Lepisosteus oculatus: one gene and its partners. The protein of the gene in region 1 purifies or fractionates together with the protein of each later gene. This does not show direct contact. Links are inferred from orthologs where the notes say so. Each region holds a gene or a part of one and is shown in the gene's direction. Other genes may lie near its edges. The genes, in order: nup160, seh1l, nup43 and nup133.

Evidence for each region.
Region 2: the proteins of nup160 (region 1) and seh1l fractionate together in Homo sapiens (co-fractionation; 3 studies listed by BioGRID and IntAct, with this or other methods). This does not show direct contact. The link is inferred for Lepisosteus oculatus from reciprocal best matches to the Homo sapiens genes NUP160 and SEH1L.
Region 3: the proteins of nup160 (region 1) and nup43 purify together in Homo sapiens (affinity purification with mass spectrometry; 5 studies listed by BioGRID and IntAct, counting the BioPlex papers as one, with this or other methods). This does not show direct contact. The link is inferred for Lepisosteus oculatus from reciprocal best matches to the Homo sapiens genes NUP160 and NUP43.
Region 4: the proteins of nup160 (region 1) and nup133 purify together in Homo sapiens (co-immunoprecipitation; 4 studies listed by BioGRID and IntAct, with this or other methods). This does not show direct contact. The link is inferred for Lepisosteus oculatus from reciprocal best matches to the Homo sapiens genes NUP160 and NUP133.

What each region holds. Positions count from the first base shown.
Region 1 is NC_090716.1:4,054,712-4,061,759, reverse strand, and holds the start of nup160 (nuclear pore complex protein Nup160), read left to right. Parts: upstream 1-4,045; 5' UTR 4,046-4,080; coding exon 4,081-4,177; intron 4,178-5,029; coding exon 5,030-5,138; intron 5,139-6,386; coding exon 6,387-6,597; intron 6,598-7,048. Other genes in the region: hatching enzyme 1.2-like, read right to left, coding at 263-308, 828-896. UniProt on the Homo sapiens protein: Functions as a component of the nuclear pore complex (NPC). Involved in poly(A)+ RNA transport.
Region 2 is NC_090705.1:9,368,664-9,375,583, forward strand, and holds the start of seh1l (nucleoporin SEH1), read left to right. Parts: upstream 1-3,912; 5' UTR 3,913-4,094; coding exon 4,095-4,205; intron 4,206-5,136; coding exon 5,137-5,187; intron 5,188-6,920. Other genes in the region: ptpn2b (tyrosine-protein phosphatase non-receptor type 2), read right to left, coding at 148-204. UniProt on the Homo sapiens protein: Component of the Nup107-160 subcomplex of the nuclear pore complex (NPC). The Nup107-160 subcomplex is required for the assembly of a functional NPC.
Region 3 is NC_090697.1:4,921,576-4,929,544, forward strand, and holds the start of nup43 (nucleoporin Nup43), read left to right. Parts: upstream 1-4,955; 5' UTR 4,956-5,069; coding exon 5,070-5,189; intron 5,190-6,145; coding exon 6,146-6,268; intron 6,269-7,187; coding exon 7,188-7,265; intron 7,266-7,969. Other genes in the region: pcmt (protein-L-isoaspartate(D-aspartate) O-methyltransferase), read right to left, coding at 1-151. UniProt on the Homo sapiens protein: Component of the Nup107-160 subcomplex of the nuclear pore complex (NPC). The Nup107-160 subcomplex is required for the assembly of a functional NPC.
Region 4 is NC_090712.1:2,256,982-2,264,784, forward strand, and holds the start of nup133 (nuclear pore complex protein Nup133), read left to right. Parts: upstream 1-4,783; 5' UTR 4,784-4,921; coding exon 4,922-5,049; intron 5,050-6,120; coding exon 6,121-6,230; intron 6,231-6,722; coding exon 6,723-6,826; intron 6,827-7,510; coding exon 7,511-7,615; intron 7,616-7,803. Other genes in the region: uncharacterized protein abcb10, read left to right, coding at 352-395, 537-571, 828-1,083. UniProt on the Homo sapiens protein: Involved in poly(A)+ RNA transport. Involved in nephrogenesis.

The sequences.
Region 1 (7,048 bases):
TGCCACCTACTGACGGTTCATGGCGCTGTTTCGATAAAAAATATAACGATCGTCATATTTTCTCTTCATATAGCAAAGGGTGGTATATTCTCAGTGTCATAGAAAAACGAAGTCATATTTAGCTTCAAAGGCGTGTGATTGATGTGGATGCGTAATGGGTCAAAACATACTGTGCTATTCTCAGCGGGATGTTTACTGTTTAGATATCCTGTCCCAGTAGGTCTATCTTCAGCCTTGCTATGTGTTTCATACAGAACTATACCTGTGTAGCCGCTTTCTTCATTATTGATCTTCAGGTCCAATGAAAGCTGCAGGTGAAGAAAAGAACGGCTTCACATTTATATTAAAACTGACAAAACACTGCTGGATTCCTTGCGTATAACACTCTGTGCCTCTCATATCTTGACTTAACGGGCAGGACCTCAGTTAAAAGTGTCAACCAGTCAGATGTTTAAGTCTTTAGATTACGTTTATTGCATTCATCAGAAATCAATTAATTTATTTAATTTACATTATTAAAGAACGATGACTAACGTATTTTTTAAAAAAAAGAGACGTTCAACCTTGATCACTGTGACAGAAAATAAGAAAATCGTTTAAATCGATCGCTGAGCTCTCCAGAAGAAACAACTAGTTTGTCTTGATTCTGATTACACAGAGTTCGAGACATACTGTAGTACTCCCAGCCCTCCATTCGTTTTAAAACAGCTTTAACCCTGGATCGCTGGATACGCCGGAGCCTATCCCGGCAAGCAAGGGGCACAAGGCAGGATACACCCACGCCAGTCACTGTGTAACTTCAGACAGACGAACATGTTTCTCCTTACCTCTACAGGGTAGCAGTGAAGCGCACGGAGCCAGGCGACTAAGAGGATGCTCGCGAGAACAGAGGTCATGGTGACAGACCCCACAGACTCAACCCGATGCCCTCGCGCCCTCGCGCCCATCTATATATATCCCCACTCCACGCTGCGAGAGCAGAAGTTCAGGGCGCCGTTGCACAAGCGTGTGGTGCAAACCCCAACGGTTTTAACAGAAATGCCATATATATCTGGAAAAAAAGTGTTTCCTCAACCTGTTGTTTCTGTGATTTGCATACTTGAGCGGTTCTATAAATCCCTAATGATTAAAATGTTAAAACCCGAGGAGTATACAGGATATTAATGTCTACGTTTGCGTAGATTCATGCATTTGTATATTATGCTAGGTTTTTTTTCCCCAAGCAAAAAAAGAAAATATATATTTCGTTCGGTAAAGATTTTTCTGTGCCAATAAAAGTCTAAGGATATCAGTGCCTTGGTTAAAGAATATGTAATGTATTTTTATATTTTGTTACTAGTGGTACTGCAGGGCACTCCTATGCAGTATTATACAGTATAATAGCAGATCCCTGGGCATTAGTTTTTGAGAAGTTGACCAAAAGCAACAGAGTATGCAAGCTCGTCTCTAGTTGTTTATGAATTACCTTCACGGTTATGTAGGAAGCAAAGAGTCAAAGAGGAGTCCCCGTTGTGTTTTAGGACGGTGCCCCAGAAATATGGAGTAAAGTATCTAGACTGTCAAGCACAGCTGAGCAAAGGTTGTGTGGAGGGGAGTACATTTCTAACACATTGGCTGGACACAGAGACATAATGCATCTTCCTGAAAAACAAAGAAGGTAACCAAGAAAATAAAATGACCAAGACTTAAACGGGTTTTTTATTTGCATCACAACAAATAAGAAAGCACACGTGCGCACAAACCACAATATGCTTTAAGAGCTTGTAGAATGAAATGCACAACAAAAGTGTTATTATGCGCAGGGCAATCAACGAAAACCTCAAAAGATGCAATTTTCCATACTGATCTTAAAAAAAGGATCTGAATGCTGCAGGTTACAACTGAATCCAGTTTGCGCTGTCTGCTCTTCTGACACAGGGCTCGTGCTTGTTCTGTGCCAGATTATAAACTCTGGGTGACAGGAGCTTCTCTGGTCATGCTGGCAAAGTAACAATCCATTTCCTTCGCTCCAGTGCCTTTTGCCTTTTGCTTTCATATCAAAGGCTCTCAAAAGCACTTTACCTACAGGAGAGGAGCCACTTCATCCAGTACTGAAGTGCTCTCCCCGCCTGAAGACCGACCAGTTAGTTGCTTTATACCGGTTACATTCAAAGTAAACTTCAGATCGTTGAGATCCGGAGTTTCTGTCGAAAAGTGCCCTGGGATCTTTGCATTCCTGGGTTTATAATCCCAGGCAGAGGGCGATACCCAGCAAGAAGATGATCTTATCTTATCTTATACCTCCTGCAGCATAGTGTACACAGTCACCATACGGTAACATTGGTTGGAATATTCTGGTCCCGAGTAGACTGCGCCACCTGCTGGATCCCCCCACTACATTCATTTCTCCTGGCGTTACATTCGTTTTATATAGTCGAATGTGCTGATTTTTTTTTAATCAACGCTGATATAGTATCCCCTGTTGCTGGTGTTTTTACGATGGACTTTTTTGTTTTGGTGTTTAAGGTTGAGCAGGAGATCTGTGCTTGGGGTCATAGTCGTTTTTTTTTTCCACATCGCCTGGAGTTGAGAAACGGTCAGGAAACGCGTCCGTTTTCGCAACCGTCGGACTGCAGCCCTGTCGGTTCGCCTTGCGCTCGATCGGGTCCTGCCTCTCGGATTTGCCCCCCATTAAGAGGAAGGTGCTGTTGCACAACGTTAACAGCTTTGCGCCAGGGGTGAATTCGGTCTTTGATTAGGCAGCGACGCGACTTGATCGGCGCTGCATCAGATCCGCCAGAACGGTGTTGACGCTACCGGCATTTAACGTGACCTTATGGTATTTACATCTGGGGTCGGAAAGCAAAACCAAACTGCCCGGGATTGTGAAAATGGCAGGAAACATAATTGGGAAACAGCAGCCCCAACTCTGTGATTTATATGGTGATACAGTTCTCAGAATGGCGAGGAACATCACAGCTGCCTCCACATACCTGCTCCATTCTCAGTTCATAATGTTCCCATCAGGGAGACGGCATAGGGACCACAATTCAAATAAAAACATTTATAAGACGTCCTTTGTCCCCTCTGCATTAAAACTACTCATTGGCGGTCTGTCAATGTAGCCCCACCTCTAATTATCCAGTTACTTATGTATCACTTACTGTTGCCGTGATTTCAATGTGATTTTATGTGACTCGTGTGTTTTGTACTTCTGTGGGAGAAGCCAAAGACAGCTTTCCGCAGCGGGGGACAGTGAAGTGTCTGTCCGCAGTGCCGGGGTGCGGGTTCGAGTCCCACGTGCGCCGGGGCTGGGTGTTCCGCTGGGCGTCGTGTCCACTTTCTGCAGCCCCGCGACAGAGGGGTCGAGCGCTCAGCTACATGAGAAAGGGGCGCAAATATTTAAGTCGCGTTGCCGAAAAAAAGCATTCAAGTATAATAGTAATACCGTGGGCGGCTTAGTGCTCGTTAGCCTAAGTTGTGCGTAAGTATAGGTCTAATTCTGGGACCTTGTTCAGCGGTATTAAATCATTTTGATATTTGCTTTGTACAACAAATCTCAGAAAATGCCCCTCCTGTGTCAGTGCGTTTATAGCAGTATAAAGCACACTCAGCAAGGGGCACCCTTACTTGATTTGAGCGAGCTTATGTAATACATTGTGTAAGCGAGTGGTTTTTTTTTTACATTTGAATTTCTCTTTAGAAAAAAAAGATTGCCGTCCCCTCGGCAGAGACGTTTACAACGATTTAGTTTCTAAAAGAAAAATCGGAGATTATCAGTGCTTTTAAAAAAAATCAATTACCATGGAGAAACGTTCTGCGCTGTAAAAACGAGTCGAACGACGTCAAACAACCTCCTTGTATCGAAATTTACTCTGTTCCTATGACAGCTCATGCTGTTTAACCCTGTGCATTGTTTTGTTAATTGCAGAGCATTTTCAGTGATTATGCTGCACTGGATGTACGTTTAAGCCATTGATTATTGATCATGCCCTTGGCACGGGCAGGCGGTACTGCGCCTTTAAGAGTTTGAAAGAGCGCGTGGCGGGTCTGTTGTGGGACCGCCCACTTAGCCTTTCCCAGGGTGCACCGGGGGTCAAGATGGCGGCCGCGGCGGCACTGGAGCGGAGCTACATAGAAATATGTGGTTTCGAGAGAGAAACCCTCCAGAAATTCCGAGATATAACGGTTGATCCAGGTAAAGGCCCTTAAAGGATCACGCACGGGGGACGGGGGACTGTACTTTGTTGGGTAAGATAGTACGATCCCCGGAAGACGAGGTCGTGACTGCCCACCATGCAGCGGGTTAGCCATGCCTTCGGTAGAGCGCCTATTTGACACTGTACTAGCAAGTAAATCAATTAAGGTACCAAGCCGCCCCGCGGGTCTGGAAAACCCAAGTATCACACCTTGATTGGTGCCCTCCAGTAGATCTTGAAGTAGTCGAGGTAGGGTTTTTTCTAAAGTGTTCTGCAAACTTGGCTTTTTGAAGAGGAGCAGAGGCATGGATTATGAATTCGTTATTTGTAAAGTTGCGGTCATTTCCTACACAACATAAATGCTTTGATTTTAAGGTGGCTTTAATTTCGCTTTACAGTGATTTACATCTTAATCATGGAGTTAGTCTCGGACTCTATATGCTTATAATGACCTAACTGTAATCTTAAGTATCGCGCAGTGGAAACTCGATTAGTACAATTCTTTCGAATCCCATTATCCGCGGTGAATCCAGCAGGACGGTAAGCCCCAACACTGCGAGATGTGTGCTAGCAAGTCTTTTCAGCACCCTGCTTTTCCTGGGCGTCTCTAGATATATCGAGCCTGATACAAGCATGCAGCGTCCGGCGCCCCGCTTTCTCTTGGAATTTACACAGGAAGATAAAAATATGAGTGTTGCCACCAGTCACTCACTGGACTGTATTGCTGGACTGGAGAGGGCGGGTTTGTTTTTTAGTTGAAAGCCTTTGCAGAGTCTAAAGCCTTACGAAGAAAACTCCCTTTTCGCTCGCACGCTGTGATACAACCCTTTGTCTTTTTCTCTGATTGCAAGGGGTGAATGCTCTTCCCGGAGGAGTCAAATATCCGGACAGTGCTGGTGGATTCCATTATGAGGAATGTGATAAGCTCCTGTCTGTTACAAGCAACAGGTTCATACAGTGGTGAGCTGCAAATCTTTTTCTTTTACCTAACACTTGTCATACTAGCATAGTAACGGGGATACTATACTGTAAAAAGGCGCCGTCCTTCAGCTGAGATGTAAAACCGAAGTACTGATTCATCTGTAAACTGGCTTCATCTCCTCCCCACTGAGAGCTGGTGTGTGGTGAGCGTTCTGGCACACTATGGCTGCTGGCGCATCATCCAGGTGGGGCTGCACACTGGTGGGGGTGTAGGGGATCCCCATTACCTGTAAAAAGCTTTGTGTGGAGTGTCCAGAAAAGCGCTATATAGGTGCATAATGCTAGCATAATGAGGGCCCTTTTTGATTTGCAATATTGGTGTTTCTTGCAGTTTTCTGGGACAGTTTTCTGGGTGTTTTCTCATTGCAAATCTGTAGGTGATAATGTCTACTTGCTGTGGTGTCTCGGGAAATTATGTTTACTTCGTGGCACTAACAATGCGATGCTGGTTTGTAGTGCGTCCTGATCGTTTCCCACCCCAGGCGGAGTGGAGCGGTTCATACTGTATCTCCCAGCTGCTCGTATGTCAGGGCTTAATTCAGGGTAAATTGCTCCCTGGGCTCAAACAGTCTGACCCCCCCAAAAGCTCCGTTGAATTAATCTCCTGCTGAGCAGTGGGGTGGAGTAGGTCTCCTCCCTCATGTGGAGTGTTCTTGCAGCCCCTGGGATGAACAACGCTATGCAAATGGCAGGAATTATCAATAAAAGCATGCAGTCGACTTTGGTAAATGAACGCCTTCATTGATCTGCTAGAATTGCTTTTCCTCAGTTTGTTGTTAATTTCTCTTATCTAAAGACTGCAGGGTTTTTTTATACTGCCCTCCAGGTAGGGCCCAAAGCATCAGAAGATTCTATGCATTATGCAAGCATTATGTAGTCAATACGGGGGGGCAAGCATCTCGGAGGTCCTTGGTTCAGTTCCTGTCCGTGTGGAGTTTGTATGTTCTCCCTATGTTTATGTTGGTTTCCCCCACATGCTCTGGTTTCCTCCCACAGTCCCAAGACATGCTGGTGGGTTAATTGGCTTTTGGGTAAACTGGCCCTGGTGTGTATGTGCCCTGTGCCCTGTGAGGGACTGACATCCCACCCAGGATGTACCCCACCCTTGCTTGCCGTGACAGGCTCCGTCTCCCTCGCGCCCCTGATCTGGAAGAAGCAGTTAGGAAAGTGGGTTGTTGTGGTGTTGGTGGTGTGGGGCATGAAATCGCACTTTCTCACCGCCTCCAGGAGCACCTCCGGCGACACTGTCCAGCTGGTGGAGCAGTCCCTGGACACCAACCTGCTGAACAACGCCGTGCGCTTGAAGATCCTCCACTGCGCCCTGCTGCCCGGGGGGGTGCACATCCAGGAGACCTGCAACCATGTCGTCGTCCTCGTGGTCACCAGCCAGACCGTGCACCGGCTGGTCCTGCCCCACCCCTCCCGCATGTACAGGAGTGTAAGTTCTCCGGGAGATGCCGATTGCTCCTGCCTGGTTTCTCAGCGCCCCAAAACCAGGATATCAGGTTCTTTTTGTCTTGTTACAGTCGCAGCAGGGGCTTGCATTACAGACAGCAGGCCGATGGTCACTCAGGAAATTGGGGCTGGTTCTTGTGGTCACTGACTGCTTGCAGGCCTGCTTGTTTGTACCGGATTTTACACTAGAGTTTGCCCACGCTTAACCAGGGAAAAAGATTTCGGTGAAATCACCCAGGGATGTTTTGCACGGTGAAACCTGGTAGCCCAGAGTCCTTAATCATGTTGGTGTTCCCCGTTAACGTCTTAGCTGTGTACCTACTGTGTACTCCGGGGCAGAGCGGTGGCTCTGTGGCTGGGAGGTTGCCGGTTCAAATCCTGCAGCCGGCAGAGGAATCCTACTCCGTTGGGCCCCTGAGCAAGGCCCTGAACCC
Region 2 (6,920 bases), on another chromosome or scaffold:
ACCACTCGCGGGCTCGGTGCGCGCCGCCGAGGCCAGGCTGCGGCCCAGGAACTTCCTAGAGGAAAGTCGGAAGCTAGGCGTTCAAACGTCTCCCAGAGCACAGCTGCTGCGGAGAGGGGGTAACGAAAAACGCGAGTTGAGACTTACGAAGTACAAATTCTGCCACCGGCCCGCCGAGTCCATGTCCCGAAACTCCTGGTCCATCGTTGCTGTGCCGGTGCGGTGCCAATCCCCCCCCTCCCTTCTCCGCGGACGTAGAAATTGAGTCAGTTGTTGTCGGCGTTCACGGCTTCAGTCGCTACACATCCTCCAGCCGAGCCATTTGCCGGAACACGGCGAAACAAACTGCGTGTCCGTGTAACTGACATCAACGCGGAGAGCGGCGCCTCTGCCCGCGCCTGCGCACTGGCGGGGGGCCCTTCGCTGCTCGGGCTGCGGCGCGAGAGGAGGCGCAGGCAGGTTGTCGGATGTGCGATGAGACGGCGGAGGGAGGTCTGGCGCCCAGGGATGACACCGGGCGGAATGAATGTCATTGGTTAGACAGGTGTATTTTTAGCTGGACGTGTAGGCTTTAGGTTAATCACCCACCCCACACAGACACACATATATACCCCCCCCCCGCCGCCTACAATTGCAATATTCTTGCCGCTTTTTCAAGAACATCAAACCGCAGCGAAAAAAAAAACTTCGCTCTCTATTACCTACTTCTTCTGCCTCCCGATGAACGATAACGTGTCACGCATCATGACTGTATTGAAAACTGTTGGAAGAAATAAGGAAAGGAGATGGGCGTAAGACCGGCGCTGTGTGAACCGCGCAAAATGTCAAGCTGTGTCTGACAAAAAGGTTATAACTCGGTTTCAGATGAATCGGGAAGTGGCGTGTCCCTTTTACGACACAAATCAAAACTTCATTGACGGAATGAGGCATTTGGCGACTACCGCTTTTCAGGGTCGTGCCGGTATCGTGCCTGCCCATCTGGAAGCTGCTGAAATGAACATTAGCCTTTTAAGGGTGGTGATCAATCGTGGGAAGTTATTTGCTCTTTCGCCCTCGCGTTATTTTTTTTTTAACTTGAACCCATGAAACATAGCCCTCAGGAGAATACGAAATCTTGACCTTAGACGGTAGCTGCATGTGCTATTTTTCTAAGTGAACTGTCTACAAAAGAAAACAGGTCAGCCGAGAATAACACAAGCGATCGAAAATCCTCTAATGGCTACTTACAGATATTTAATATATGTGTAACAATTATCAGAAACAATTGCTGCTAAAACTGTTAAAGCTAACTGTCAACAGGAAACCTGAAATACACAAGTTATTCTTCTTGGATCTTATTCTTTCACTAGTGTAATGATGGTGTTGATACTGTGTTAGACACAGTCCAGTGTGTTTGGGAATATTTCTGGGGAGTGCTTAGTTTTAGTGTTAGGGTCTGGGATATGTCATTAGGTTCAGGTGTAATCAGAACTCAGCAATGAGCTCAGTGCAATCAGACTGCCATCTGGAACCACCAGCAAATACATAGTATTTTCTGACAGCTCTCATCCAGCTTTCCAGGCAATGGAAAAAAAAATGAGTTTAATCTTTTAATAAGAATAACAATTGCAACAATAACCCTTCTTAATACACATTAACAGTGTCTGGCATTAGTCAAACTGAACTGGTTGTGATGTTTTTCTTATTCTGATGGAATTTGAAAACTGTGGTTCCTCATTATTTTCACTTTGGTTCATCCAGCAGACTTCTTTGGGATGAAGAGAGAAACGTGAGTCTGAGGACGCAAGTGGAAACTACTTGGACATGCCGTTAAAACTGGGAGCACGATGCACTCCTTTACTCCCAGAGTGGCGGGGGTGTGGAGCAAGCTCCCCGATACCCTGGTTTCCTTCAAGAAGCAGTTGGATGAGATCCTTGTGTCAATTAACTATTAACTACCAAACGAACTAGGGAGACCAAATGGCATCTCTTCTCGTTTGTAGCCGTTCTTATGTTCTCTGTGTGGCATGGAGCTCGGAAAAATAATTGGAAAACAGCAGCCCCAGCTCAGCGATTTATATCACAATACAGTTCTCAGAAGGGCGAGGAACATTACAGCTGATTCCACCCACCCTCTGCATTCTCAAGTCATAATACTCCCCTCAGAGAGACGGTACAGGGTACCAATTTCAAATAAAAACTTTTATAAGACGTCTGTGTCAGTGAATGTATGTAAATGTAGTCCCCCCCACTACCCATTTATTTATGTATCACATACTGATGTTGTGACTATTTGACTCTTATGTTTTGCTTGTGTGTTTTGTACTTCTGTGGGAGAATCCAAAAACAACCGTAGTGGACAATAGAGTATCTGTCTAGGCCTCATCTACCATGTTAATGCTGTTGTCCTGCCCCCCTCCCCAAGAGGAGTGTTCAAGATTCCTGCTGTTATTTTCCTCTGCCTGGACAACTGTGGTGCTGCTGCTGCTCATCATGGAGTCATGAAGCTCCAGAGCTGAGGTGGTGAGGGGCTTTCAGGAATTTGAATACCCCATTGGAATTGCCACATGATCACCTGTGATCCCTTACCCTTATACTGCGTGAGTGCATCGTGGCCATCGAGCGCATTTTATGCCTTGAGTGCCCTCTAGTGGCTGACTCGTGGTCATTACAACCTCTCCGCGCTGCTGTACAGCTACAATGCCGGACATCCCTTTTAAGTACACGTGTATAAACATCACCGCAGACATCCACATTTAAAAAGTACAGCATATGGAAGCAATAGAAGCATTTTAACTGAACTATATTTAACGCATTATTTGGGAGAATATTTAGGTTGTGCTTTTAAGTCTAAAAATCATTTGGAAAATCGTTTCATTGTTCGGCTACCTCTTTTTCAAAGTTACTACCAAACGGGTTAGATGGGCTGGCTGTTATTCTCTCGTTTGTAACTTCTCTTTTGTTATGTCTAAATCAATCTTCATCCAAAATCATGAGGTTATTAACGAACTGTGGAATCTGTATGATTTGATCAAATCTGCATATGGATCTTGTGTTGACAAAACGCAGATCCGATTAAGATTTTTTAAATGTTCAGTTTTTTTTTAAGCTTCCTGGAAAGCGCTCATAAAATCTGATTTGTTGCAGTGTTAGTAGTGTTGGGAAGATTTGCTTTGCTTTTAAGAACTGTTATAATAATAATTTATTATTACCACTCAAAGCGCTTTACAGGTAATGGGGACTCCCCTCCACCACCACCAATGTGCAGCATCGACGGCAGCCATAGTGCGCCAGAACGCTCACCACACATCAGCTCTCAGTGGGGAGGAGAGCAGAGTAATGAAGCCAATTCATAGAAGGGGATTATTAGGAGGCCATGATTGGTAAGGGCCAATTGGAAATTTGGCCAGGACACCGGGGTTACACCCCTACTCTTTTCGAGAAGCACCCTGGGATTTTTAATGACCACAGAGAGTCAGGACCTCGGTTTTACGTCTCATCCGAAGGACGGCGCCTGTTTACAGTATAGTGTCCCCATCACTATACTGGGGCATTAGGACCCACATGGACCACAGGGTGAGCACCCCCTGCTGGCCCCACTAACACCTCTTCCAGCAGCAACCTTAGTTTTTCCCAGGAGGTCTCCCATCCAGGTACTGACCAGGCTCACACCTGCTTAGCTTCAGTGGGCTGCCAGTTGTGAGTTGCAGGGTGATATTGTGCTATTGCACAATACTTCGTAAAAGATGTTTTTTACATCAAATGATAACTTGGGGGAATTGCTTTTATTGGGAAATAAAATCATGGTGCATAATAACTAAACACACGCTACATGGGTCACTGTAATTGAGGGGTTGTAAAATCGGATTTTCCCAGAATGTGTTCATATTAAACTCACTTCTCACTGAAATAACAGAGGAATAGCCCGAGGTGCCATCTTGTGGTGGACTGTTGCAATGACCTCATGAAGGCAGGCGCCAGAAATGGGTTGGAGAACGTAGGTGCAGCGCTCACATGTAGTTAAATCTAGGTTGCATTAGAAAAAATAAAGTCTGGGGTGAATTGTAACGCTTTAAAACACGCCTTTGAAGAGTTCAGAACAGCGCCGGTGGACGATGTTCGTCGCTCGGAGCATTGCGGCGGATCACAAGGATCTGATCCACGATGTTTCCTACGATTTTCACGGCAGGAGAATGGCGACTTGTTCCAGCGACCAGAGTGTCAAGGTAATTCCATGCGAGTTTTTTTTTTAAAAAGATGAATACATCATCCTAACGCCGAGGAGTCCTGTCAATAAATCAGTACCCATCGTGCTAGGAAGCGTAAATTTAACAGCTGCACGAAGCAATCGGCTTGAAGCGTTTCTGCGTTGCAGCATGTAAACAAACGGGCTGTGTAGGCCTGAGAGTTGGGCGCCGGGTCTGTGAATGTCACGAGTGAATTTATCTTGCATTGGGGTTTGAATTTAGTTTTCCGCTCTGGGCTGGGAACACATATACTTTAACCACGAAGAGCTCGGATACAGTCCTTTATAAAGCCTTGGTTTAGCAGGTTATACTATATCAGAAACCCTCAAGTATACGTTTGCTTCTATGAAGTCCTCAATGCGCCACTTGAAGACGTATAATAGTACGACTTGTTCAAGTGTTTTATTTAAATCTATCGTTTTAAGACGTTCAAGCTTCACAAGTAATACATCATTAAAAGATTAATAGCTGGTATATTTTACTACTACTATGTCACCGAGATAAAGGTTCATTAATTTCCCCCTAGCTGCACACACTTGTAGAACAGATTTTAACCAAATTATTTTTCTTAATACATTAGCTCGTAGCTTGTACATAGCTATATAAATCTTTGAGACGTATTGCGGAACATCCTGACATTTTAGTATTTACTGCTGCTGTCTAACATTCCATGCAGAGATGATTTTCAAAGCTTTTAGATGTTCAAGCCAAGGATGAGTTTGAGCCAGTTATTTAATTATTGTTTTCCAAATCGGTAAAACAATTTCATGGCTTTTCTGGAAAGACTGGGCAATGTTTGATCCCATTAGCAAAAATCGATGTTTATTTTTCAAAAAATAGTGTTATTTATAGAAAGATAAACAAAATACACAGAGAATATTTACAAGAGCTGATTCTGTGATTGTTTCAGGTCTGGGACAAAAGTGAAAACGGAGAATGGCACTGCACAGCCAGTTGGAAGGTGAGGATTATTCAAAACCAGTGCTTAGTTTTTTTTTAATCTTCCGCCCAGAATGTGTTGATAAAAGTGTTTTCATTCGCCTACGACACTGTAGATCAGGAATTAGTTGAAGACGGCAAAGGGCCTTTCCCTGCATCATGTCCTGGTTTGTCTCTGCTGCATATTTTTTCTTGCTCTTTCTGCTTGGATCATTTGCCAAATTGGGGACCTGAGGTAATTAAATATAGGCTCTGAAAAGCTGGATCGAGTGGAGGCTCAGTAGTGCAGTTAGGCCCTGGGTTCAATTCCTGGGGTGCTGCCTGCGTGGAATTTGTAGGTTCTCTCACTGTGTTTCTGTTGGCTACCTCTGGGTCCTCTGGCTTCCTCTCACAGGCCGAAGCCCAGCATTATAACATCAACCCTACCCTTCATAAATTGATTCTTCTCAGTCGTGCTAATATATGTGGTCAGACTTCATAAAGAGCTCTCATTAAATCTCCCATCTCCAAGGGGAGCCTGCCAGTCATTCATTTATTCAAGCGAATCTTCTTTTTAAAAGACCTTCGTGAGTTATGGTTCATAACGTGGTTGGCAGATAATCTGTCCTCTCAGAAAAATGGAAAGGAATGTAAAGCAGACACTGAACAGCACCACGACCACCGCAGGCAGAGGCTTTCCATCTGAGAGCATGTGTGTGGGGGGAGTTGGAATGAGAAACCCGAGGAGGAGGTTTCTGTATCACGCAGAGCTACAGTTCTATACAGTACACACACCAACGACTAGATTCAGCGCAGATCTTGCTACTGTTGAATTCACTAACCAGCAGCCTGGGTCGAGCAGACTGTGGTGTTGTACATTTGAAAGCCATTTCTTAAGCTTCCCGGCTGTGGGAGAAGGTTGTGGTGTTTTGCTTTTAAGTACTTTTTCCAACGGCCTGAATGAGTTCAGGCCTGAGAAGCAGAAGACTGAGAAATGCTTGCAGCTTCTACTGTTCTGCTGCATCCTGTCGAAATTGTCTTTCTTCTACCTCTGTTAGGTTTTTTTGGGGAGTTCCTCAGTTCCTTCTATAAAAAAAAAAACAGCCTTTTTTTCTGTCAAGCCCATGTGTACGGGCAATATCAAAAGTTTCGCCTCTTAATTGGTTGGAAGTGTATTTGGAAAAAGAGAACAGGAGGCAGTTCTTGTCATAACCTGAGAAAGGCCGAATGGCCTCCTCTCGTTTCTCTCCTCTCAGCTCTTTTAATAGTTTGTAGAGATTTTTCCATGAAAGTTCTCGTTCTGCCTTTTCTTGAAAGGTGGTATCGCCTTCTACAATGTGGCTGCCTAGCGTGTTCCATGTCCCCACCAACGATTTTTCCATTGGGGTTCTCGTTTACAAGTGTCCTTCAGGTTATACATTGTGATGTTCCTGGTACTCTCCCAAAACAATGGCACCAGCAATCCTGGAGCGGGACACCACATGACAGAAAAAGAGGAGGCATGATGTAAGAAAATTGGGCAGGCACTAATGTAGGGGCAATATGTGTTGATTTAGGTAGGGGTGTGTTGAGATCAGCGTATTACAAAGCAGGTCACTCTGGAAAGTAGAATCGCAGAGCCTCCATCTGTTCCTTTGTGATTTGCTTGAAATTGTCAGAAATAAGGTATGAATAACACAGGGGTGGGTCTTGTACAGCCACAATTGAGCAGGTAGCTTGATTGTAGCTTGATTTTTCATTTTCTGAACAATTTAGTTTTGACCAACTCAGCAGGCA
Region 3 (7,969 bases), on another chromosome or scaffold:
TGGCGCCTCCTGACTTCCAGGCCATGGTGAGACACACTCTGCGGATCAGGTAGAGAGCGGCTGTCAGTGCCGCGCCTGCGCACACGGCCTTGCCCACGACGCTGACTACTTCCAGCGCGGACGGCGTGACGTCACCGGCGCCGCCCGACATGGCTCTGCCCCCCCGCGACGCGCGTCCCCGCCGCCGGGGGAGTCGGCCGCCGTGGGCCGCTGCCCTGTCAGTGCCACCGCGGTGACCTGAGCAGCCGTGCGGTGCGGTGCGCTGGCTTGCAGCTGCGTGCGGGCCGGACGCGGTTCCGGCTGTTTATTATTAATCGTCTCGGACGGGCGGCCTCGCAGGCTGTGCCTCTTTCCTCCACCAGGCGGAGCGAGTGTGTGTGTGCGCGCTCCCGCGACGAACACGTGATGCCGCTTGGGGGGTTTTTTTTGGGTCTCGGCGGATGACCGGGGCAGTGGGGGGGGGGGCATCTATTTAAAAGCACGGTTTGTAAATGCCTGGTTGCAAATGTGAGTGAGACAACCATAAGGGCAAGGCCGTTACGGCGTGAGCCCAAGAGCTAGACATCCCAAGTCCACCGGGTCACAGCCACAGACACTGGTTCTTTCAAACCCCACTGCGGTTTCTATCTGGACGATAAAACATAAGCTTTTCCCTTACTGCCCCCCTTCACTTTTAATGGAACACGAATCGGACCACATTAATAAAACCCAGCTGGAGAAATGAAAACTGTGAAGTAAACGTGTGTGTGTACGCAACACGATCGATTTGATGTGAACTTTAAAACAACCGTGGGAGCAGCAGGTGCCTTTAGGTAAGATATTCCACACATTGATTTTTCATTAAAAAAAAAATCAGCATGGTCTGATATACCATTTCTTATGGCCGCGAGTGTTGAAAATATATAAATACATAACAGAATAATATCACTGTTCAATCTGTGGACTAGTGTAGTCTGCGCTATTTTGCTAGAAAAAAACCGTTTGGCAACGATCTGGGAGCAGCGTCCTAGTCGTGGATGATCCTGTGGTTGGTACTCAGCTCAATGCTTAAGAAATACGCCAGGTCGATCGCTGCTGAAATGAGTCCTCACAGGTAAATATGATCATGTTTTCAAATGCAGACGGAACACCTGATGCCCTCTAGAGGATACCAAAGTGCAAGACTACAGATACTGCTGCTAAACTAAGCAATCCAGTACAGTACCAAGCGGAACACTGGGTCGGAAAGTTGTTGGTTTTCTTTACGTGCAAATTGTTGTACTTTGCCTGAGGTGTTGCCTAATTGATATCCGTGGATCATGGCCGTCCGGGGTAGTTGGATCTCCCCAGGGTTTTCCCGAAGAATACCCCCGACTTGTCGAAGAAATGAGGGGGTGTCTCTTGGGCCCCGCACTCCAGGTTTTGTTAACTCTGCGTGTTGTTGTTGTTGTTGTTGTTGTTGTTGTTGTTGTTGTTTGTTTGTTTTTGCCTCTGACTCTTTGCCCCGTGGTGGCTCTGCCCGAGAGCACCGGTTATGAGGGGGCTGCACACGTACAGCGCCGTGAAACAGCGGGGTGCCCATGGAGCGAGCCTTGGGCATTTTAAAACCGCGTTTTGCTCGTCTCTCGTTTGGTCAGGGTACCAGCGCCGTAAGAGCCAGCGGTATCATTGCCACGTGTGGTCCGCCCCAGCCTTGCTGTCAGCCGGGATGAACTGCCTGTACCATCTCCAAGACTTTCGACACGCCAGCTATATCGACGCTCTTATTGTTACTGGCCCACGGCCAGGGGCAGTGTACTGAAGAGCCGTCATCGATCACCTCTGAAAAGACCCTAATAAGAGTGTTTTCTTTAATAAACCCTACAGAAAATAAGACACTTTACCCCGTGTACGAATATCCTTGTTCCTCCATATCCCTTCTCCACTCTCAGAACCTCCCGTGTGGAGACCTCCCACCGTAAACAACAGAGAGAAATGATGCCCAGATGAGACTGATCACAGTGAAGAATCACTTCCTGTTTACTTATATGCATTTCCCTTAATTTCAGTTCACTTCCCTCCACAGAATCTGTATTTCAAGACTCACCATTGCATACAACGGGCTCTGCACTCTTCAGTGTGTGAGGTAGGGATGGCACCCCCCTTAGTATTCAACGTTTTTATTGTTTTTTCCGGGAAAAAAAAGAATGTCACACAGTGCCAAACCCAATAACAAACACGCGTGAACAATAGTCATGGCAAGACAAGCTGGGTCCCTGAACACACTGTGTAATTCCACCACTAATATAAAAAACAGGAATAAAGGAGTAGGAAAAAGGAAGCCAGAGATGTGGGAGAGATAAGCGTATGAAAAAGAGAAAAGAAAGAAAAAAAACTCCCTTTATGATTGAACCATGAGAAGTAGGTCTATTGATAAGATCACTTTATTAGCCATATACAATTTCTTGTATTAGGAATGTGTCTTTTCACATACCCCAGGTTGCTCTCCATGAGACACAGGGAGAGAAGCTGGGGGTCAGAGCGCAGGGTCAGTTGGGGTGAAGGGCCTTGCTCAGGGGCCCAACAGAGTAGGGTTTCTCTGCCAGCTGCAGGATTTGAACAAGCAACCTTCCAGCCACAGGCACAGATCCTTGGCCACAGAGCCACCTGCAGCTGGTTCGTTTACAAGGATGTATTTCAGTGCCCATGTACAGCAGGAGAGTTCGGGGCATTTTACAGGGTAGAACATAACACACAACAGAAATAAAGGCAAAGATCAACAACGTGGACAAGGAGGAAAGGCAAACACTAATTAAAAACCTGACTAAACCTGATAGGTGACTGGTCTAGATTTTAACTGTAAAAGACTGAACAGACACTTGTTCCTGTAAGAAGGTGGCCTCAGCAGAGAGTAAAACCCTGCTTGATACACAGCGGTAATGAGAGATGCTCAGGTGCTCTGTACTGTGGGGCTGGATGTGTTGGCTTTAAAAGTTAAAAGTAAACTTCTGAACTGGATACATTTGGGTAGAGGGGATCCAGTGAAGATGTTTCAGAATTGGGGGAGATGTCTTCACAGAGAACACGTTAGAAGTCGAGCAGCTGAGTTTTGGACCACGTGGAGCTTGTTTAGGGAGCTGGTCGGGAGACCACTGTAAAGGCTACTGCAGTAATCCAGCCGAGGTGTGACCAAGGCATGAATCAGGGTTTCTGCAGCAGTGTGATCAAGAAATTCAAGCAAATTTTCTGAGATGAAAGTAAGAGACTTTACAGGCGTCTTTTATTTGTGCATCATTTATTTGGGATAAAAAAGACCACCGGACAGGTGTCATTGGTGTACGGGGTGCTAGTTGAAAAATCGAAAGAATCGTTTGACTGTAGGCTTCAATCGTGGAAGACAGATATACAAGAAGACATCTCTGCGGAAGAGTGGAGTGAAACTTGTTTGAAAGCTCAGACTCAGACTGTGAATACTAGCTTAAAACTCTTACAGTATAAGTGGATACGAAGACTGTATATCACACTACATGAACTTCATCAGTTCTATCCTAATTAAATGCAAAGATAACAAAGGTACATTTTTTCACTGCATGTGGGAATGTCTGGTAGTTCAGGGTTTTTGGAAGAAGTATTGCATAGATTTTCTAGAGAATAATCGGGGTAACATCTAGAGAGTAAAGGCTTTAATTAGAGGAACTGCTTTATGAAAGGTATCACATTTAAGCCCTGTATATAACATGTATTTATGTTAAAAAACAAACACCTGGGTGACTTGTGTTTTGAATCACTGCCATTGTATGAGTTATTGGAACTGTCTGGATGTTTTATCACATTCTTCCTTTTTCTTTTCTGTTGTTTGGACATAGTTCATATTTTCTCATTTCATATTAAATATGGAAAAAACAATAAAGATATTGTTTTAAAAAAAGACCACTGATTTCTCATAGTAGGGCATACTTTTAGGCTACTGTTTCCAAGTTGTAGAGAATTTACTAAATGAGATTCATCTTCCCTGGGGTTTATTCACATCATCTCAGGTTTTATCATATTTAAATGGAGGACATTTCAGCCGGAAGTTCACTCACGCAGTTTGACATAATTGAAACATTGCATTATGGATTACACAAGATGTAAAGCTAAATTTCATCAGTGTAAAAATTAAAGCTGACACCAATAAGACTGCCTGATGGGGATAAATAGACTAAAACAAATAAGTGCTAGGGCAGAGCCTTGGGAGACACTTGAAGAGAATGGGGCAATTTTGATTAAAATTATTATCTGCAACAAATTGTCCCAGGTTTGACAAACAGACCAAGGCCGTCTCTGTACCGTATGTACCGGCTGGTTAAAAACAGAGGTCAAATGAGATTGTAACTGAATGGCGACTAGTTTCTTTATGATTTTGAATATTGTTGAGCATTTGAATACTACAATAAGTTTCCAACCAAACACTTAAGAACGCTTAAGATTAAGTCAAATGAACGATATCATTTCAGTAATAAGCTGCATGAACCTGATGAACATGGGATCTAGTGTTCATTTTAGTACGATACTAGATTGCGTCTATAGAAAGAGTTGGACCAACTCAGTTGGGTTCGTTGGAAGCGAGGACATTTTATTATGGAGCCGTGAGCTATTTTCAGCAACTGAAATTCGTTGCAACTGGTATTGACCTTGGTGGGTACTAATGGGGACACTATAGTGTAAAAATAGAAGACGGAATCTTCCTCGATAAGTACAGTCTTCAGTTTAGTTGCCATTGACCACCTGTTAAGCTTGTTGAAAATGTACGGAGACATACCATTACTGGTGTAAATAGTATATGTGATCAATTAAAGATGCCATTAACAGATGACATGAAACACAATATAGGAAATATAATAACAGAGCATATTTTCAATCTCATTCAACTACGATTTTGTAGATATTTTTCATGTTTCTGCAACCGTATTTAACCATGTGAACGACACTTGTCTTCGCCGAGGATCCGTACTCACGTGACCGTCTTGTGAGCCGGAAGAGGAGGAACTGACGGGATCCGGGGAGCCGCAAGAACAGTTCAAATTTAAATGATATTTTAATGTGAGCTACAACAATAAAATAGCATTTTAATGGAGTACATAAATGCCAAATTTGTGTCTCAGAAGATCAGTAAGACACGATGGAGACCGGTGTCTTCTGCATCCCTCCAAAAGCCAGATATATTCGCTACAGGGTCTTGGGATAACGAGGTAATTTATAGAGCTGTAATAAGCATGAAAGAAATGAATGGATGTCCTTTCGAAAGCAGTTTTGTTTTCGTAAAAATTATAAGTCTTTAACTCAAGACACGCCAGATTAAGACCAAGCGATAAAGCCGGTGTTATGTTACATTTCACGTTTTACTAGGTGGAAGTCGATCCTGTATCCCCAGCAGATTTGAGCACACTACTGTCGTTGCTTCCAACTCTTTCTCAGTTTTTTGTCTCTCGTTACATTGAAAACATTGAATATGTCTGACTTGATTTGGTTCTGTACTTCATTTTGTAATTGTAAGGCAACGTGGCTCCGTACGGGACAAGCCAATAGGCTCTACTGTTCAGCTTTACAGAGAAGTGAATGAAGCCGTCACAGCGGCAGTTATTAAAAATTCCTCACACTTACAGTATAGAGCGCTTTTCTGGACACTCCACTCAAAGCGCTTTACAATAAGTAGGATCCCCTCCACCCCCACCAGTGTGCAGCCACACCTGGATGATGTGAAGGTAGTACACTCCCCACACAGCCGCTCTCAGTGGGGAGAGCTAAGTAATGAAGTAATGGAGATTATTAGGAGACCGTGGAAAGCCCTGAGATTTTTAAGTTTTAATAACCACGGAGAATCAGGACCTCGGTTTTATGTCTCATCCGAAGGATGTCATTTTTTCTTTACACTATAGTGTCCCCGTTACTATACTGGGGTATCAGGACTACACAGACCGCAGGCTGAGCGCCCCCTGCTGGCTCTACGTATACCTCTTCCAGTAGCGGCCTTAGCTTTCGCAGGAGTCTCCCCACAGGTACTGGCCAGCCTCACGCAGCTGAGCTCCAGTGGGCTGCCAGCTGTGAGCTGCAGGCAGTTGTCATGGTCGAGGGGTGTTTTTACATGCGGGATTACCTGATAGAAAGGAATATCTTCTTGAATGCCACTTTTGCATCATTGTGCCAGGACAATAAAGTTTCCATATGGTCTGTGGGGGAGCTTAGCGTCACCAGCATGGAGGATGAGTTTGAAGGAGACCCCCAGCTACTGTGTGACTACCGACATGGCGGTGATGTCATGGACCTTCAGGTACACTTGTTCTTCATTCGTTTTTCTATCTGGAAATATGTTGTACATTGTTTTTTTACTACGATTGATCATTGGTCATTTTGAAAATTTCTAAAAAGGGGCAGTAACTCTATTTTCCTCTTTCATATTCTCTCAAGTGAGGTGAATAATGGAACTGTGGTATCTTAGCAGACAGTTTAGAATTTTCCACAGAAGGAGGTTTCAGAAAAAAACATGGAAGGGCAGTACTAGGGCCAAAAGACATTTTGTGGGAACTAGTATGAAACATCATTCATATTATGTATGATATCAGACACTTTGTGTTTATTCCTGCTTATGTTTGGCTGAAAATTCTAAAGTTGTATTCTCTTTTAGATTATGTCGTATTGATTGTATAACATGTCTAAAAGTAAACATTTTTGTGTGGATACAGAATTTGCCTCTCCCCAGGCAATGGGTACAGTACAATGGGTCTTGAGCATCAGAAGAAAATTCCTAGTTAACAGGCCATAAGTGACATTCCACCTTTCTTTGAGTACATTTGAAGTAGTAATATCAGGCACAACGTAAAATGTTCATACATTACTGTGTGATGCCGCGATCGCTCAATATCAAACAGCGTCACTGTTCCTCAACCTCGGACACATTTCACAATTCTTCCAGAAATGCTTTGTAGGAATGATGTTTTATTCCTGTGAATGTAATAAATCCTTTATTAATGTTGCTTTATCCTTTATTCTTCTTTCGATGTGTTACTGGAGGATTATGTAGGTCAGCCTTCAAAGCAATATACTTTTCTCTCATTCTCTGACCTATAAATGTTAGTTGTGAATTAAACCTTGGTATAGACTTAGCTTGGTTTACTCTTTTTTTATTCGTGTTTATGACCATTTTACATGCCCTGTAAGGCACATTTATTTTCTTGTGATGTTTCTTTTAGTTTCTGGACCATGAGAGAATTGTTACAGCTTCATCAACTGGAGCAGTTACCATCTTCCGACACCATCACAACAGCCAGGTAGATCTGTCTTTCCAATGCTTTCTTTCAGAGTTTAGACCTCATTCTGTTTTGTTCTTTCAGTTCAAAACTTTTTTTTTTTGGTTTTGCTGTCTTTCAGACTGTGTTTCTGTTTTACTACTTTTGTTCTCTTCTTTGAGATTCTCTGGAAATGTGCATATTCCAAAGAACATAATATTGAGTTTGATTGTAGTAAAGACGTTATTTCAGAATGTTAGAATAGGATCATGTTAAAGTTAATCTGACTCTGAGTTCTTCTGTGTTGCTTATCTTAGATCACCCTGGAGGGATGAAATTAACTTAGCTTTGGTTTTGAATTATATCTTTTACTCTCTGCTTCAGAAAAGCATGTTTGTGCATGTTACTGGCACTCCAAAATATAAATTTTTAATTCAATATTTTCATCATAACTAAGTTCCTCCGAGGTACAGTAGCTCGCCTTATCTCATGTTAACTCCCCGAATCTACTACATCGCTCTTCCCATCTCTTCACTTTGACTCTCTGAAATGATTCTCAAAATATAAAATGTAGATGTTCCCAATATGGGTCCTGACCTGCTGCTTGTATAACAGACCTGGACAGAAATGGCCTGTTGGCCTCAGACAAGCATGAGTCTTTGGAGTAAGATAGAATTACAGCAACTGAAAGGAGTTTCAGTTGTTTCCTGGAGGAAAAGAGTCTCTCTGAACTATCTCTGTTTATC
Region 4 (7,803 bases), on another chromosome or scaffold:
GCCACAGAGCCCCCGCTTCACCCTAGTTAGTTTGCTTTAATTACACTGCTTCACATCTGGAACTCACACATCACTGGCAGTGATTGCAGGGGCAAATCTCCTGGCTGCTTCTTTTCAGATGAATTTTGGAGGGCAACATCTGAGAAGTCTCTTAGTATTCAGCATCACTGCTTCATGAGAGGAGGGAAATATTTCAATAGTGTGATAACTCCTACATTTGAAATCTATGACATGTAAGAAATAGAATCAAAATCTGCTTTTGGATTATGTTTATTAAACTGTAAATATTGGAACATAACAGACTCCATTCCAGAATAACATGCACGTAATTTAATTTCTCTCTACCAACAGGTGGTCAGAAACAGAGAATTGCTATTGCACGGGCTCTGCTAAAGGTATCTAATAGCATATTATGCTTCAATATCCTTGTTCATGACTGCACAGACTTAGACAAAGTACATACTAAACCTTATGCATTAAAAATGTATTTAAACTGGAAAATATTTGTTTCAATAAATAACTTTTTTATTCTCCAGAACCCAAAGATACTTCTTCTGGATGAAGCCACCAGGTACACAGTTTGATGCTGTTTCCTATTATTTCATATTTCATGATGCCCTGTTAAGCATTTATCTGATGATAAATGCTTGAAATTAAAGCACTGGCATCATACGTGTCACAAGAATCTTTCTGAAGGTGTTTAACTGTGAAATCCCAGCGGGCCCTGCAGACGATGCCCTGCGTGTTGTAGAAGTGCTGTAAAGAGAGTACAAAGAGTGTACTGTACTGACTTTCCCGGTGTGCGCCCTGTATTCCTGTCCCCCCAGCGCTCTGGACGCAGAGAATGAGTTCCTGGTGCAGGAGGCCCTGGACCGGCTGATGCAGGGGCGCACGGTGCTGATCATCGCCCACAGGCTGTCCACCATCCAGAACGCCGACGCGGTGGCCGTCCTGGACCAGCGGCGCGTGGTGGAGTGCGGCCGGCACGAGGAGCTGCTGGCCAACAGGCAGGGCCTCTTCAGGAAGCTGGTGGAGAAGCAAGCGTTCCTGCAGAACAGCCAGAAGCACGTGGTGGTGGAGTAACGTCAGTGCAGGAGCGGGAGAACTTCTGTGGCCAGTGTGGTCAAAGCTCTCATCACAGGGAATCCAGATTGCAGCTCTTTGACTTAGGTATTTGTTTTTCTATCTGTTCTGCTGTCCCTTCAACTTTGAAAATGCCATATTGTGTTCTGAAGAATATTGTCAATTAAAAATATACTGAACCCATTTTTACATCAAATAATAATTTTCCCAGTGAAACATTGAAGAATTTTAGTGTTTTGGCAGGCACACATTCCTGTTTAGTACGCTGAATTTCAGTACACCAACATTAAGTTCTTCTATCAAGGATTGGTTGTAATTTTAGATATACTGCATGGTAAGACAATAAATTAAATCACAGAAACTGGTGTGGGCTTTTCAAAATAACCGCCACACATAAAGCACAAGATGTATTGGAGTAATATTGTGTTTCTTAATGTGTCACAATCTTTACTACTGCGAAGGCATGCCATAAGATACTACATAGCTCACGTTCTGAAACTGTGAGGTTTATCATTTAATAAGTGCGTGTGTATTTAGATTTTCTAAATTAAGGATAAGCAAACTGTAAATTAAACAAACACGATATCATGGTATATATAGGGTACAGTCCTGTTTAGGGAATGTTATTTGTTTACAGCTTCTATGTATTGACTGGCATTTGTACCATAGTTATGGTTCTGTAATTATATTGTTCATTTTTATTTTTGGAATGTTTTGTACTTTATGTGCAGTTTTTCGTTTGTTTAAAATATTTCAGAAGACACTTGATATTCATGATGTAAGTACCATACAGTTCAATGAGGAACGAACCCAGACTTGTTGTATTGGGTCATGTGAGTGAGAGCAGACTGACGGGAGGTCCTGAGCTCTTCTGGATCCTGACTCAAGCTTATAAACAGCAGAGGCGGGGGCTGGAGCAATACTGCATCACTAGCAGAATCAAGTCAAACCAGGACTGCGAAGCTTCCCTTCTGGCAAAGAGCAAAACCAGAAATGAGATCCTGAAGGGATTGTTAGCAGTTTCTTTCATTTTGTTATTGTTTATTCTCTTTTAAGGCTGTTTCAATAACATTAAATTGTTTCTCTAATTTATTTTGTCAGTTATAATAATAATAATAATAAATAATAATAATTGCTTACACTTATATAGCGCTTTTCTGGACACTCCTGTAGCGGCAATGCTTGTTAATAAGACAGAATTAAGCGTTGGTATGCTGTCCTAAAGGAGGCCCCATCTCACCCTCCATCTCTGTAGTGCAGCCACAGAGAAAGTATTCATGCAGGCTGATTTAAGATGTTTTCTTTTGATAAGGGACAGCTCCCAAAGGGGGATGCACTTGGCTAAGCCTGGCTATCATGATCAATGGTCATCCATTGGCGCCTATCTGTCTAGGGAGTGCCAAATGGACATCTGGACTGCATTCCTAAGTGTCAGGAGTAAGTGACTCATATCTCACCTTGATCAACCAATCAGGGACTGGTAGGGCCGAGTAACCCACGCGGGACTCTGATGCCCATGGAACTGTCAGCCAATCAACGAGCTGAAGTTCCTCCAGGTAAAAACAGGCAACACAGAGAGCCTGGGAGATTCAAGGAATTGTGGAGAATTCTGTGGACTATTCTAAAGGGAATTCAAAGGAGAATTCCAGGGCAGGACGGCCCAGGAGCAGAAGGCTCCCAAGAGCAGGACATTCTCGCAGCACGCCTCCTGACCATCCTGAGACTCAGCCCGGACAACCACGGAACGGCCAGTGTGTCCGAGTGCCAGAACTTTGCTTTGTTCTAAGAGTCTAGAGCGGAGGTTGCCAGAGAGTAACCAGAGGATCCACCCGAGGTTAGCACCAGCAGCAAGCCTCGTGAACAGGTCGGAACTGTGGACAGCTGAATCACTATTCAGAACTAGCGCTTCATCAGGAACGAACCGGTCCTCTTCCTGACTTGCTGGGACCCACAGTCATCTTTTCTCCTGTGCACAAACTTTGCTAGTTAAAGCCAACACTAACTAGCGGTCAGTGAGCATCAGCAGCGCACCGTTGCAAGCCGCACAGCACAGCCTGGCATGGAGCCAGAGAGCGCAGATTGGACAGCAACAGCCTGCAACTGTTTCTTTGTGCCCGCAGGAGATCTGAATCCCCAGAGATTGGATGAGTATTCAACTTCAATGCATTACAGCTCGAGAATTCAATTGTTATCCCAACCAGTTGATATCAATTTAATTCCTAAGAGTTATGTACTTGTTTTGAGTATCTAATGTAGAAGTTGTAACCAAGTTCAATTACGAAACGGTCTAAATGAATGATATACTGAACGTATGTCCTCTTGATATATGTAACTCTTTGTAACTGACTGAATATATACCTTTTGTATTCTGATAACCCTCTCGATAAGATCTGTTAGGTTTATATGCATATTCTATGTATTAATAAATGTATCCTCGTGTATTAGTACCTGTGTGTGTGTGCGTTGTTTGAGTTATATCGCATGGTTGGATTCTAAAGCCATCAAAAGAATCAATTTTGTGATTTACTGCTACAATTAATAATTGTCCCAGTAAATGCCCAAACCCTACAGAACTGGTGCCTTCAGAGAGCACACTACACTCCACTCAAAGTGCTTTACAGGTAATGGGGATCCCCTCCACCGCCACCAATGTGCAGCCCCACCTGGAGGATGCAACGGGAGTCGTAGTGTGCCAGAACGCTCCCCACACACCAGCTATCAGTGGGGAGGAGAGCAGAGTAATGAAGCCAGTTCACAGTTCCTTTTCACAGGCTTTAAGGCTGCATTGTTTTATCAAAAATTACATTTGCTGACTAATACAGATATCAACCCTGAAACAGTCTATGAGGTTGAAATGTTTTTACTTTCTGCTGTTTCTGCTGCAGCATGCAGCTAACCTCTACTTGTTTCTTTGCAGAACCCACACTGATAAGGCTTACTCCAACCTCTTCACTTATATTGTGCTTTATTCAGCCATTTGTTTTTAAACGTTTTTTGTGTTATTAAAAATGTTTATTTGTAACATAATCGGGTGTCTCTGGGAGGAAACCACAGAGTGAGGCAGCAGCACAAACATCCACTCTGTTCTGTGAAAGACCGAACACTTGTACGTTTCCTCAACATTTCTACTTAATCAAGTTAAACTAAAAAACATTTTCAATTAAAATGAAGATGGCTCTTTTCAGTAAACAGCTGAAAACATTGGGAGAGAGTGTGTCCACCACGTAGAAGGCCCGGTATAAAGGCATCAAGAACACAAAGTTGGTTCTTGCTTGTTTTTTTTTTAGACAGTACACCATATTTTACTTTTATCAATAAACAGAACAATTTCGTTCTCCTTCTGAATTTCTTTGTGAACTGTATATTTGTGGAAAGATAAACACAGAATTGCATTATGTTCAAATAAATTTAAAAACCCTTTTGCAACTGACAGGAATATGTTTTTTCAAATAGCGAATTTGTTGTATAAGTTAAATATCTGAAATAACTTCATTTCACGAAACTATTAAAACGTACTACTTTCGAAACTAAACACACCAGAGCTGCGTTCTCACTTCCTTCCTTTTTATTTTTTTTACTTCCCTTTTCATACAGTGTTCTTTCATGATGTAGTCTGGTACGCTTTCTTCTCTATATAAAACTACAATCCCCACAACCAGCCCACGACAAATGACGTTTATGTTATGCGCCAGCACTTGTCGCATGTTGTGAGTCAGTGTGCGAGCGTTTTTTGAGGGAATCTTCGAACGAGGAACTGGTTGTCTCATGGTTTGACTTTATACAGAACCTGTGTGAAAGGAGTCGAAAATCGTACTCGGATACAGCGAACAAATAAAAGATGTTTTCTCCCCGGGCGTCTGCTGGATCGGCTCGCAGGCCGACCTCCAGAGCGGCCGGTAGAAAGAGCCTAGCCGGTACCCCGACGGGACTGTTCTCGCCGGTCCGGAGAGCGTCTCTGCCGGCGAGGTAAGTATTTTATCGAAAAAATGAAGCGAAAATTTACGTTAGGGTGATCTAACAGTCGCTTCACTTTCGTCAGTACTGATCCAAAAATAAAACAACGTGAAATGAAGCAGGATCTTCATTAACGATCACTAAAATAGTGAAGTTAGCAGAGCTGTACGAACAATCCTTAACACGAAATGATTAGTTTTAAAAGAGCAAAGCGCGGCTTGTTTAATCGCAAATCCTTATCACTTAGTAATTCTACGTGGTTTAGCGTTAATAGTTGTTTTTAAAAAACGTTTATCCTCTATCATTTAGTATAAAAGTCATAGAATTTACTTAAAACAACTGCGAATTTGAAAATCCCTCACCTGTTTAAAACTCGCTGGCTAACCAAGTTAGTTGATTTTAAATGTATGCGTTTTCGTCAGGTCAGGTATTTTGCTGATATCCTGAATATATAAGCAAACGATATTATTTGTGAACCTCGTGTCGGAGGCACATTTTAATAGTGAAGACTACTCTGCGAGAGAACTGCATTGTTCATTCATTCATTGAAATTCATTCATTAGTCCGCTTCCGTCAGATTCAGGGCATTAGAGAAAAAAAGTAAAATTCCAATCTGAATTGTGAACAGGTCCAAGAGTATTGTCGGCATGGCTGCTGTTTTCAATTGTGACAGCGCGCTGTCAGGTGCTGGGTTAACCAGTCACAGGACTTCACAGACCAGTGCGTGTGCTGCTGGTTCCGATCCAGCTGCAAGAACGACGGCACGAATGGACCCGGTTTGTTAGCATGCAGACCTCTGCAGAACCCGCACTGATGCAGCTTCGTACTCCATCCTCTTCATTTATCTTGTGCTTTATTCAGTCTTACTGAAAACCAGCCATTTGTTTCAAAGAGGTTTTTTTCGTTCCATTAACAATGTATATTTCTAACATGATGGAGTGGAGGAAACCACAGTACCCAGAATGCACCCCACAGGGAGCGGGCAGGCTCGACATGGACAGGTGTCCTTTTCCAGAATCCAACCCAGACCTGGGGCTGTGAGTGTGAGGCAGCAGCACAAACATCCCCTCTGTTCTGTTCCAGAGCGACTCCCACGCGGGCCCAGTACACGGCCACCGCCGAGAACTTCGACCTGCAGGGCTTCGGCTCTTCGTTGCCCGTGAAAGTGATGGAGGCCCTGACGATGGCCGAAGGTGAGCTTTCCTGTGCCCCTCCCGCCGTAGATATACTGTACTGCCTGCCTCCGGGCTTTTGCGTGTTGACACACTGTACATGATTGTACAGTCCAGCTGTCTCAGTACAGGCTGTGCAGCTTCTCTAAAGCCTTCGTCTTCATTCGAATAGCAAAGGCCCTGTCCCCAAAAGGGCGGGATTCAACTTGCTGAAAAATGCATATGTCACCAGAATCAAAAGCTTTCTGACCTTGCCGTGTGTGCGGAAATTGTTTTTCATTTATCTTCCAAGCTTTTTAAAATCAAGCCTTCAGTGGCTAGGGGTCTCAATAGCGTGTCCGGACGGCTATAGATGTTTGTACCCCACACACGGGCTGTAACCTGGAAATCGATGGCCGTGAGTGGGTGTGTTGCTCGGTGGTGCAGGCCAGGCCCTGCTGTATTCATGCGTGTGAACAGGCGTGATCTCCTGCCCTTGGCCTGGGGCTGAGCCGGGTGTCCTGTCTGTTGCAGAGGAGGAGGAGATCAGCGCGCGGGTGGACCAGAGTGGCTGGGCCTGGCTGGTGTGCGGAGAGAGTCTTATTATCTGGAAGATCGGGCAGACTGCTGTGGCAAAGGTGACATTTCCTCGTCTCTTTTTTAATCCCTAGAAAACCAGACGTCTGTGTACAGGGAAATATTGTGGGAAATGCATTGAGCGTTAAATGGAACTTTGACTGGTCTTTTCCTATCAGCTTGTTTGAAGATCTCATCTCTCTGTGACTCTGTCCTGTACGTCCATACAGGCGAAGGTCTGTCCTGCCGATACCCCAGGGACCTGGACACGTGCTGATGATGCAATCAGATACAGTGGTATGCAAACGTTTGGGCACCCCTGGTCAAATTGCACGCTTCACTGAGTCTCTAAGTGAAAGGTAGTTAACACAGCCTCTGGAGGGTACAAACGTAGACATGGCAGAATTCTGCACATTTTAATGCACAATTACCATTTACTTGACAGATTGAAAAAAAATAAAAAATAAAACCAGGGGTGCCCCAACTTTTGCATGCAGCTGTACAACGTGGTGGTTTTTGAGATCGATACCCAATGTTCCTCCCCCTTCTGGACGAAATCAAGCACTGCCAACTTCATCCTTGATTAGCAAAAGGGAAGGGTGTGTGGCCGTTCACATTACGAGCTGTGAGTTCTGGTTAGGAAAACCGTTTTCTAGCATCCATTGGCGTAAATGTGAAACGTTGCGGCTACATGTGGCGTTGATTTGGAGGCCTGCTGTCTGATTCTGTTCTGTTCTGAACCCCAGTTATCGGTCTGCAAGGAGCTGCAGCTGCCGCCCAGTGACTTTGCCGGCTCTGCAGATCTGGTCGCCCTGTCGTGCCAGGGCTCTGGCGAGGGGGCTCCTGTACAGGTGGGTTTGTGCGTCAGTCTGGGCGTTCAGAGCACAAGAGCAGTTCCTCGTGAGAGGAGGCCCCTAGGCCCGTCCAGCGCCTTCGCCTGCTAGTAGCTGATTGGTCAGCCAATCTCGTCAAGCCGTTCCATGAGGTATCGGCTTCAACACAGTTTGTTCCAGAGACCCACGACCCTCGGTATAAAAGA